3 linked regions of the Kluyveromyces lactis genome follow. The protein of the gene in region 1 interacts with the protein of each later gene in a biochemical or structural test. Links are inferred from orthologs where the notes say so. Each region holds a gene or a part of one and is shown in the gene's direction. Other genes may lie near its edges.

Evidence for each region.
Region 2: the proteins of MRC1 (region 1) and TOF1 form a complex in vitro, tested with the Saccharomyces cerevisiae proteins (2 studies listed by BioGRID). The link is inferred for Kluyveromyces lactis from reciprocal best matches to the Saccharomyces cerevisiae genes MRC1 and TOF1.
Region 3: of the proteins of MRC1 (region 1) and HOG1, one has a biochemical effect on the other in vitro, tested with the Saccharomyces cerevisiae proteins (2 studies listed by BioGRID). The link is inferred for Kluyveromyces lactis from reciprocal best matches to the Saccharomyces cerevisiae genes MRC1 and HOG1.

The regions. Positions count from the first base shown.
Region 1 is NC_006039.1:35,325-39,715, reverse strand, and holds MRC1 (chromatin-modulating protein MRC1), read left to right. Parts: upstream 1-1,541; coding exon 1,542-4,319; downstream 4,320-4,391. Other genes in the region: ribosome biosynthesis protein KRR1, read left to right, coding at 140-1,132; VAC17 (Vac17p), read right to left, coding at 4,386-4,391. UniProt on the Saccharomyces cerevisiae protein: Required for normal DNA replication. Phosphorylated in response to DNA replication stress. Phosphorylation allows it to mediate the activation of RAD53.
Region 2 is NC_006039.1:187,744-191,977, forward strand, and holds the start of TOF1 (Tof1p), read left to right. Parts: upstream 1-1,339; coding exon 1,340-4,234. UniProt on the Saccharomyces cerevisiae protein: Forms a fork protection complex (FPC) with CSM3 and which is required for chromosome segregation during meiosis and DNA damage repair. FPC coordinates leading and lagging strand synthesis and moves with the replication fork.
Region 3 is NC_006042.1:1,866,051-1,869,193, forward strand, and holds HOG1 (mitogen-activated protein kinase HOG1), read left to right. Parts: upstream 1-1,158; coding exon 1,159-2,493; downstream 2,494-3,143. Other genes in the region: ATP-binding cassette glutathione S-conjugate transporter YCF1, read right to left, coding at 2,736-3,143. UniProt on the Saccharomyces cerevisiae protein: Proline-directed serine/threonine-protein kinase involved in a signal transduction pathway that is activated by changes in the osmolarity of the extracellular environment.

The DNA.
Region 1 (4,391 bases):
TCACTGCACCACATTGTCTTCAGTATCCGCTTATAAAACCCTAGTTTAGCTTGAAGCGTACTAAAGGCCAACAGACAATTTTGCGAACTCACAAGTATCGGAAAAAGAGGTAGATATTGATTTAGTCGTGAGTTGAAAGATGGTCTCTACTCATAATAAAGACAAGCCTTGGGATACGGACGAGGTTGACAAATGGAATATCGAGGAGTTTAAACCCGAGGACAACAAGTCTGGCCTTCCTTTTGCTGAAGAATCCAGTTTTATGACTCTATTTCCAAAGTACAGAGAAGCGTACTTGAAATCAGTTTGGAAAGACGTTACGAGGTCTCTCGATGCACATCATATTGCATGCGAATTGAATTTAGTTGAAGGTTCTATGACTGTAAAGACTACAAGAAAAACGTATGATCCAGCAGTAATCTTGAAGGCTCGTGATTTGATTAAACTTTTGGCCAGATCTGTGCCATTCCCACAAGCAGTGAAAATCCTAGAAGACGATGTTGCCTGTGATGTTATAAAGATTGGTAACTTTGTTTCTAATAAAGAAAGGTTCGTGAAAAGAAGGCAGAGACTAGTGGGTCCTAATGGTAACACTTTGAAAGCCTTGGAGCTTCTAACAAAATGTTATATTCTTGTCCAAGGTAATACTGTCTCAGTAATGGGACCATATAAAGGATTAAAGGAAGTACGCCGTGTCGTCGAAGATTGTATGAAAAACGTACATCCTATTTACCATATCAAAGAACTCATGATAAAGAGAGAACTTGCTAAGAAGCCTGAGTTAGCCGAGGAAGACTGGTCTAGATTTTTACCTATGTTCAAGAAGAGAAATGTTGCAAGAAAGAAACCAAAGAAGATCAAGGAGAAGAAAATATACACACCATTCCCACCTGCACAATTACCTAGAAAGGTTGATTTGGAGATTGAGTCCGGTGAGTATTTCTTGAGCAAGAGGGAGAAGGAAGTCAAAAAGTTACATGAGCGCAGGGAACAACAAGCCGCTAAACACGCTGAAAAGGAAAGCGAGAGAGCCAAGGATTTTATTGCACCAAAAGAAACCGACTACAAAAGCTCAATTTCAAAATCTACAAAGAGCTCTTTAGGAGACAGGAAAAGACAGCGTACCGATTAAAGCGCTAGTAAGTATTTTATTATATAATCGCGTTTCCATCCTTTTCTCATGACTCAAATTAAGAAATATAGTTTTAAGTTAAGTTTCAACCAGTTGCTTTGTTCAAAAATCGTCCCAGTAGACACTTTACGATTATATTTATGGACCACGTATACGCTTTTCACTAACTATCATTCATGCCAGCAACGTTCTTGCTTTTCCTTATGTCAAAACCTGCGGTGTGACAAAAATATAGTACGTACGATCAAGAAGGTTTTTTGAAAAGAAAAATGAGAAAACGCGTAAATATTTAAGGCTCGCAGCCCAATCTTATAAGCACGATAATGTTACCAGGTAAGGCATTATTATAACCGTTTTATTAAAGGAATTCAACACCTTGCAAACACTTCGGCACATTATCAAGTGCAGAATGGACCTACTAGATGATTTGAACGTTGGCATTCATAAAAAGAAAGGCAAAACATATTCTAAAGCGAACGATGCAGAAGATGAAGAGCTGAACGTGGGAGAGCACAAGTTTCTAGCAGAGAATCTGCTTGAAAGAGTCAAAAAGAGACTAAATGGAGATTCAGATGATAGCACTGCTTCGGCAATTGATAACAGTAAAAAAAGCACATTCTTCTACAGTGATACCGATTTGTATGAAGGTAAAGAGTTGGACGATGAGTTTGAGGCAATGCGTGAAACTGCTGCAGTACCAAAGCAGCGTGAAGTGGAAATCCAACAGAAAAAACATCCAATATCTCAGACACAATTAATTCCTACATTCTCTTCATCTTGGCTGGCAAAGACTCAAGTAAATACTCAGGCACTGGAGGGCACCAACAGAACCATTGATAGACAACAGCAAGATTTAGACACACAATTGAACAATGAGGAAATTACACAGACTACACCAGATGAACACACTCTTGATAAAGCTGCAACCGAAAGTAAATTGCTGCACAGTAAAGAAACTTCCTTTCGAAATACTTCGTTTACATTTAAGTTGACAACAAACAACAATGAAGGACTACTGGCAACTAAACCAAATGGAACTCAAATAGAGAATGAGCAAAAAGTGGTCGCTACTCAACTTGATGTTGCTGAAAAGGAGAAAGCCGTGCCTCTTATAAAAGATACTATAGAAGAACCACATTTACCTGTAGCACCATTAAAGGCTGTCCGAAAGAAATACCTCCCTGAACAGTTCATTGCAGCTTTTGATGATTCGGAGTCATCCAACGCAGAAGATCTTTCAGATGAGGAAAATGATGCTGATGAATTGAAAGATATGGCATCTACTCAAGAGTTAGTCACGAAACAGAAGAGTGTTGTTACTAATATGAATGGGATTATTGCCATTACTATGAAAAATAGTCCACAAAATGTTATTGAACTGAACTCTTCGTCCGAATCTGAAGATGACTATAAATCACAATCGTCCAAGGCAGCATTATTGCTGATTAAAGCTAAGAGATCCAGGAATAAGGCTACTAAAGCAAAGAACATGCATGTTTCTACAGTTGACTCTTTGAAGGAATTGTTTACATCTTTGAAAACAAAGAACAGAGACCAGATACTTGAATTTAGAAGAGAAATATCCGGTAAAAAAGGAATATCACTTGAAGCGATTGAAGATGAAAAGATTCAAGTTGAAAAGCTTCTAGAGCAAGAGCTTGAAAGGAATAGGAGAGTTAAACTAAGAGAAAAAAGAGAAAGAGAGAAATCAAAAGATACGAGTAAAGCTGCATCTTCTGGTAGCGCATCCGATGTCCCTGATAGCGATGTGATGGAGAGTGATTTAAGCTTATCAGATAGTGATGTCGAGCAGCATTTAGGGCTACACGGGTCCACTGGTTCAGACGAAGATAGCGCGGATACATCGGCAGCCCATAAAAACAACAATCCTATAATAGATGATGACGAGAGTTCTTCGTCAAGTGATGATAATGAAGTCACCCAGGAGCCGATTGGCATCAATTTAGGGCATTATGGCGATAATTTAACTTCCTCAAATGTAACGGAAAATGATGGTGCTGATCAAAGTGACAGAAATGTGCCTTCAAATTCAGAACTGAAGATGAACAGATCACATTCAGCGAAATTATTGGTGGGAGAGTTAAGTTCCGATTCCTCAGTAGACTCTGATTCCTCAGAGGACGAGCTCGACGAAGTAGAAAGGAATAGGCTTCAAGAAAGGGCTAAAATGCGCCGAAGAATGGAAATAGAGGCAGCAAAAAAGCGGAAGCAAGTACTTAAATCAACTGGTCTCAACAAAATATTGGAAATGGAAGCAGAAGAATCTGAGGATGAATGGCATGGTGTTGGTGGTGCTGACGGAGAGAATTCAGATGACTATGACTCAGATTTGGATACCATGATAGATGATTTTTCCAAAAGCAAGTTTGATACCGCTTCAATAAGAGAAAGGTTAGCCTTAGAGAACAAAGAAATGGACGAAAGGATGATAAATAAAATCTTACATGATATCAATACCGGAGGCTTTCGTAAACGTGGCCGAGGAGCACTAGATCTTGAGTTAAGCGATGATGAGGATGAGTTACTACGACAGTTTAGGGAAAAAAGAAGAGAAATAATGAAACAAAAGCTACTAGAAAATGTGGACGGTGTAGTCAATAACTCAAAATCAAAAGCCTTTTTCGATAGTATGGTGGAAGATATAACTAGAAAGTCAATCCCTGCTGTCACATCATTCAGCAATACTCGAGATGAGATGGGAAAGAAGAAAATTGTCATATCAGAAGAGTTTGTTCAGAGTTCATTATCGTTTTTAAGTGCAAAAGATGATGATATCAATGAATTTGAGGTCACTGAAGCAGCACATGATGCAACTGAGGATTTGGAATCTTTGAAACAGCGAAGCAATATTAAATCTCTCGATTCCCCTCAAAGGAATAGAAACTCCGCCTTCTTTGATGATGTGGATGGTACATCTCTGGACTTCAAATTGCCCAGCATCGTAAAGTCTTTTTCGTCAAACTCAGATGTTAATGACAAGTTCAAAACGGGGATCAAAACTGTTACTATATCTAAATCTTATAGAGTAGCCTCTGGTTCTCGATCTGCCATCACTTTCTTGGGTAAAAAGAGAAAATTGAAGGCACCCCAAGGCCGAAAATCCACACCGTTGGTACGCAAACCAACATCTAGCTTGTTTGACTCCAATTCCGATAGTTTCACCTGACCCATCCAACTAATATGTCAATTTCATTATAAAATCTCTTAAAATTACATTTGTATAATCATTATATCAGAA
Region 2 (4,234 bases), about 150 kb from region 1:
ATCACACAATTCTTCCTCAGATAGCATTATAATCCTGAAATTTTCCTTGTAACAAAACCATCTAGCATTGGTCCTGTTTTGAACGTTCCATTTTTTTTCTTTCTTCACATTCTTAATCGACTGTTCTTTGTCATACTCTTGTCTACTTGCTGCCGTAAATCATTTTAAATAACTTGTGCGCAGTGCAACATAAATCTTACGTTTATCAAAGGCAGCAAAGGCATGGCATAGGTTCTATTCTACTTCCGTAGTTAATAATTGAGAGCATATTTCAAATATATTTTTTGCCTCAGAAATTGGAACAATGTATCTCCCCGCAATGATCCTATACCACGACACAAGATCACATACCCGGTATGTATAATCCCCCAGCACTCAGTAGACATATTCACCTCCCTCATTCATGTTCTCTACATTTGAAAGTTAAAACCTCAAAATCAAATTTCAGATCGATGAGTTAAAAAAATGGAAAAACCACAGATTAATGCTTATTGATCTTCATTGACAAATGAGACATCGCAAACCGGACCAACCATCTTTAACACACTATTGCAGTGTTTTTGTCTTTTTTGAGGAATTTCAAAAGCTTTTCCACTTATGTCTGCTCTTCATTAACGGAGAATGTCGTCACATAAGCCGAGTGCAATCAGAACCCTTATTTTTTGCTTTTTGTACGCTTTATTTACGACCGTTCCTAATACGGTCATGAAGATCGAAAAAAAAATATGCAAGATTATTTCTAGATTGACACAAAGGAGAACAAAGTAGCCATAGGAGCAGGTATAATACAATTTGATCAAATATTTTAATATATGGCTTGTGTTTGGTATCAATCTACTTGAAATTATATGGTGACTGCTACTATTCCTTTAGTTTGGTATGAAAGCTCAGCTTGAAAGCAAGAACAGTGAGTTACTTTCCCGCATGATATTTGGACTTTCGTCTCTGTTTCGTCGTTGGGAGAACAGTAATCTAACTAAAATGTTACGGAACTAATATTTAAAATTGAAACTTATCAATTGCTGATAGTGAGGCAATAAAACAGTGCTTGTACCGTGTATTGATAGGGGGGGCGAAGAATTACAATTTTCAAAATCACGTGATCTGGTTTTGTCTTACTTTTCATAGGAATCAATTCCAATCGAATGAGATTTTGATCATAAAACAGCTTTCAACAGTTTTACGCGTTTGAACAAAAGGATGAATATTCGAAGGGCTACCTTAATCAAGAGGGCAAATTCTTTCCAATTTGACCAATTTGACAACGAACATAACTAGTATTAGTTGAGAAAACTATTAGAAAACTTCTTTGGGTTCGTAGCTTTGACAGAAGGTAACTATGTCAGAACCCGATGACGTTGATACTGTGAAGGAGAGACTGGCAGAAGATAGGCAAAACATACATATTCAGAATGAATACCAGGATATTTCATACACAATCATTAAGGCAAGAATTGGTATGTTAGCCACGGCAATTGGAGGACCAGATCACTCTGTGGACTCCGTTAATCCACCTTATAAGGTAGGTGATGATTGCTTGGCTTGTATTAAGGATTTGATTCGTTGGTTCAAGTTAGTTGATGATAACCAGAAGAGATGGGATGTAGAAATGGCCACAGCTGAATTCAAGATCCTGCAGAATGATCTAATACCTATTCTATTGGATTGGGAGGCAAAAAATAGTGCTGCTACTAGGAAAAGTAAAAAAACAGGTGAAGATATCTCGATTTTCTTCCCGAATAAATCATATCATGATAGAATCGCTCTAGGAGCGTTGCAACTTATGGTGTTGATGACATGGCCCTTAATCATAACAGATCAGTCATCGTATAACCAAGTGAATTATTACTTTGAGCTGAAAAAGCATCAATTGCTGTATAAGCATGCAATTTTGACAACAGAAAACGGAAAGGTTCTCAAGGCAGCAATTAGATTAGCCCTGAACGTCATGAGTGTGGATGTAGATCATAGGACTGCTAGGGATGACTCTCTGATACGAATGGTTCTTAATTTTCTAAAAAATGTGGTGGCAATAGAACCAGGTGAAGTTACAATATCCAGTGTCAAAAGATTGAAGAGACCTTTGACTATGGCTGAAATGTTACCAACGAATATTACCGTTGATGATATTTCCATAAATAGTGTCATAACCGCATTTGATAAAAATAAAGTTTTTGGCTTTCTTCTAACAGTGGCTAGTTCTTTGTCAGACGCTGTTGACCCAAATTTCGTTAGTTGGCCGTTGTTAGAGGTCATGTTCTTCTTAACAAAAGATATTAACCCCATCCGATTGTTCAAAAACCAGAGAAAATCTTATAAATTGGGTACGGATCACGAGATTACAGACTCCAACATGACAACGTCAGGTAAACACCTTTCAGAATTACTTGCAAAGGAACATGAAAAGAAGCTTAATGTAATAAAGAATACTTCTTCTCGTCATTCTAGATTTGGCGGTTTATTGTCTATACAGACACCTCAAAATACGCGATTGACAATTGCTAGTAATTCTGTCAACATGCGTGATGATGCGGCATTACAAGAGTTAGACTCAAGAAAAAAATGGAATAAAACCATCACTATGAGACTCGATGTTATTGAAGGACTCAGTAGCAGCTTTTTTAGTACTGAAGGTAATTCTATTTACATGTCTTCTGACAACATTACTAGCATAAAAGAGTTTTTGGCAGATTTTGTTGATTCCAGTTTCAATTTGTTATTGCAAAATGCCACAGATAGTTTTACGAGTGAAATTCAAGATCAATTACCATTGCATAAGATTGAATACATGTTATTCATTTCGTGGTTTGTGAAATTCCAGAGATCACGGTGCATTTATGAAATTGATGCTACACCGGATTATGTCTCAGGCGCATTGTTAGATGAGTGTTACATTCTCTTTACAAAATATTTGAGAGAGAGTTATGAACAAAAGAATTGGCCAGTGGTCCATGCGGGTATGCTATTGTTCACGGAATACTTGGAGTTTTTATTATCTCTCGACCAATCATGGGAGGCAGATGTTCAAGCTGTGATAAGTAAGATTTTGAGCGAAAATATGTTGCAGCTATTGGCATCTCTCCCAAAATCTGCAACCAGTCATTCTTCACAATATGTTAAAGCTTGCATTAATTTAACACATGTGGTTTTGAAAACAATTGATAAATTTGATGAGAACAGCTCGTTGACTGTGGAGTCAAAAAGGAAGCGTAAGGTGAACCTTAATCACACAGCAATTGAAAAGTATGCAAAAGATAATGATTTAGACTATGAATCAGCCTTTGATATATTAGAAGAACAATTTAAACAAGTGACCATAAACTTTGATAAGGTTTTTCGCGGATATCTGACAGAACCAACGATATCAACTTACATCAGATATCTACAGTCTTACAAAGAACTGGAGGACAAAGACCTCATAAGGGTTCTAAAATTCTTTCAGAGAGTGTTTGTCAAAGCGAAGGAAGAATTATTTCTATTTCGAATTGACTTCATGATATTATGTCGAGAAATTCTAAGTCAACAAGGTCTGCCTACAACTTCTGAGCTAAGAACTCATTTCACAAAATTCAATGAGTACTACCTTAAGCAGCTCAAAAATAAACTGAAGAAAATGCCTTCTTTGTACATCAATATATTGTTCCCAATGCTCCATGACTCCCAAATATCATACTATATGAGACATGGAAAGATGAAGTTGACTGAAGGTACTCCTGACATAGTATTGCCCAGCACATTTATCAATATTCCAGATGAAGGCTCTCTTCCTAAAAAAGTTTTGTTAGATATGCAAGTTGGAATCTTGGTTTCTAGTCTTATCGATGATGGATATGAAGATTTGATTGAAGCTTTGTTGCTTAATTTACAGTCAAGTTTCGATGGATTGAAGGGTAAGGTAGCAGAAGGCATCAATTCACTAGAAGAGGAAAGAGTAAAAAAAGTTGCATTCAATGCTACTAATTCTGAGATAAAGAGGGCCTTATACCAACAGCCCGAATTCAGAAGGCTTTTAATCCTTGCTGGTTTTGCAATTCCGGAAGCTAATCAACCTGCTTGCTATTTCATTAATAATAAAACTCCTACTGAGGTCCAGTTGGTAATTGAAACTATACAAAAGCACAGGTCTCTTCCATTTGAATCTGAAATTGGAAAACCAGCTAGTTATTATTTATCGTCACATTATCAAGAGTATGAAGACCCTGAAGAATACGGATCAGATTTAAACAATGGAAGT
Region 3 (3,143 bases), on another chromosome or scaffold:
GATCGCGTTTCAAGGGTTCCATGATAGGGCTTTAAAGGCGCTAATCACAAATCTCAAGTATATCGTCGTATTCCAGAGTCGCGGGTTCGACTCATGTTGAGTGTAAGTCAGATCAGTCACCAGTAGAGAAGGATGTCATGGCTTGATTTGTAAATAGACCCTGGAAACGCCGATAGTAGGTTACAAACTACGACAGAGCGTCAAGGGCGCGGCCGGTGGGTTTTACCTACTGCAAATCATCTCACGGTTCGTCCATTTTTTCTATTCCATGCCTAGAAAACCAAGAGGTGTGATTTCCCGGGTAACATCAAGTTACTAATCCGTTTCTATGCATCTATTACCCTGTCTCGTAAGTTTTCTTATCAGATCACGTTGTATGTAAGTAGGCGGTTTCAAACCATACTTTATTCAAATTGATGTCTGTCCAAAAACTGTCATTTCGACTTACAAAGAAACTTTAAATGAGGAAATGTATAATTATTGATCAAGAAGTACCTTTAACGTTTATGGTCACCAGTATTAATATGTAACGTCACGGTATTCACAGGTGTGCAATAATTGGGTGGTCTTCTCAAGGGTTTCTTACTTGGTTTATCACGTGATATCAGTAGAAGTATTACCCGGATGTCATGTATCATAATCCGCCACTGCCCCTCCTGTTCGCAAATCTTACTCTACATACATACATGCATACACATATAATAACCCAATCTATCAAGCCGACGTCGATCCTATCTGTCAGAGCTGTTGTTACGTCTTAAATAGGAAACAAGTACACAGGCAGTATTTCAGGGTTAATCACAGAACCAAACGGTGATAAAATCTTCGAAACAGTGTTTTATATAATTCCCACTGTGACACTTTCCCCTCCATTATCGGTGAATGGACATCGTTTTTTGCCAGGCCCTTCCTTTTTTTTTTAGTGAATTAGAACCGTTGAATTTCATATTCAAGTCGTTAAATTTAAAAAATTGAAAATTAAAGAAAACTTGATAGAAACAAAACTAGGAGACCCTTCGACAACAATTGCTATAACGTTGCTTAAGTTATCTGCCAGTTCGAGCGATCTCCCAAAGAATTAGATTCATATACGTATCCTTCGTTGAACCAAAAACTCGAGGATATCGAAGCTGGACACGTTTTTCCAATTGAAATAAAATGTCGAATGAGGAATTTATTAGGACTCAAATTTTTGGTACAGTTTTCGAAATTACCAATCGGTATACTAATTTGAACCCGGTTGGTATGGGTGCCTTCGGGTTGGTTTGTTCTGCTACAGATACGCTAACAAGCCAGCCTGTAGCGATTAAGAAGATTATGAAACCGTTTTCTACTTCCGTACTGGCAAAAAGAACGTATAGGGAACTCAAATTGTTAAAGCATCTAAGGCATGAGAATTTGATTTGTCTCGAAGATATCTTCTTGTCACCATTAGAAGATATTTATTTCGTCACTGAATTGCAAGGGACGGATCTACATAGATTGTTGCAGACAAGGCCTTTGGAAAAACAATTCGTTCAATATTTCTTATACCAGATCTTGAGGGGGCTTAAATACGTTCATTCCGCAGGTGTGATCCATAGAGATTTGAAACCTTCCAATATCTTGATCAATGAGAACTGTGATTTAAAGATCTGCGATTTCGGACTTGCTAGGATTCAAGATCCTCAAATGACTGGTTACGTGTCAACCCGTTACTATAGAGCCCCAGAAATCATGTTGACCTGGCAAAAATATAATGTTGAAGTAGACATCTGGTCTGCTGGTTGTATCTTTGCCGAAATGATCGAGGGTAAGCCTTTGTTCCCAGGTAAAGATCACGTGCATCAATTTTCTATCATCACTGATCTATTAGGATCGCCTCCAAAAGATGTCATAGACACTATTTGCTCAGAGAACACTCTCAAATTTGTTACTTCATTACCTCATAGAGATCCTGTACCATTCAGTTCGAGGTTCCAGAACTTGGAACCAGATGCTATAGATCTTCTAGAAAAAATGCTTGTGTTCGATCCAAAGAAGAGAATTACAGCAGCTGATGCCTTGGCCCATCCTTACCTTTCCCCATATCATGACCCAACCGACGAACCTATCGCAGAAGCTAAGTTTGATTGGAATTTCAACGATGCTGACTTACCTGTTGACACCTGGCGTGTAATGATGTATTCCGAGATCTTGGATTTCCATCAAATCGGTGACCCACAAATCAATACAAATGCTACTTTCGACGACCAAGTAGCCGCTGCCACTGTCGCCGCCGCGGAGGCTGCCTCTAAGCAACAGCAGCAGCAACAACACCAAACTGAAGAGCAAACTCAACAGACAATCGCCTCTACTCCTCCCCAGGCTCAAGTGACCCCACAACAACTTGAAAGTGGCGCTAACTCTAATTCCAATTCTAACCCTTCTTTCTCTATTGGCCCTGATCCAGCAAACGAAACATTGACGAATTTTGCTAATCAAGCAGACCAATACGTCTCCAAATTCAAATAAGTTCAATGTAATGAAATCTGCTTGACAGAAGTATATTCTTTTTTTGTTTTTATTTCGTATTATATAAAGCATCTTTTAATCACAGCAGAAATGTAACTATTTACACGTTTCTTACGATAAACCGAATATTATTTATAATTCTGATAGGGCATCTCAACTAGGAAACAATTGCTTAACAAAATTATTACAAAAGTACTTAAATAAACAAAATCTCTGTTATGATAATACAACTTGAGGGGGTTTCACTCCGTTAAGCCGGCTTCAAGACATAACGAATAGAAAATAGAATCCTTCTTCTGTAACAAATTCTGAGGAGTGTCGAACTCTGTTACTCTACCTTTATCCAACACTATAATTCTATCACTGTCCATAATTGTGTTAATCCTGTGAGCAATTGTTAAGATTGTTCTTTCCTTAAATGCGTTTCTAATCGTCTTTTGGATCAATTGATCCGTTTCAACATCAACAGCTGCAGTTGCTTCATCCAAAATCAAGATATTACTTGAAATCAACAAGGCACGAGCCAAGCACATCAATTGCCTTTGGCCTACACTTAAATTACTACCACCTTCAGTAAGCATGGTCTCCAAACCATTAGATCCCATACCCAGTATGTGATCCTTCAAGTGTGATAAAGCCAATGCATTCCA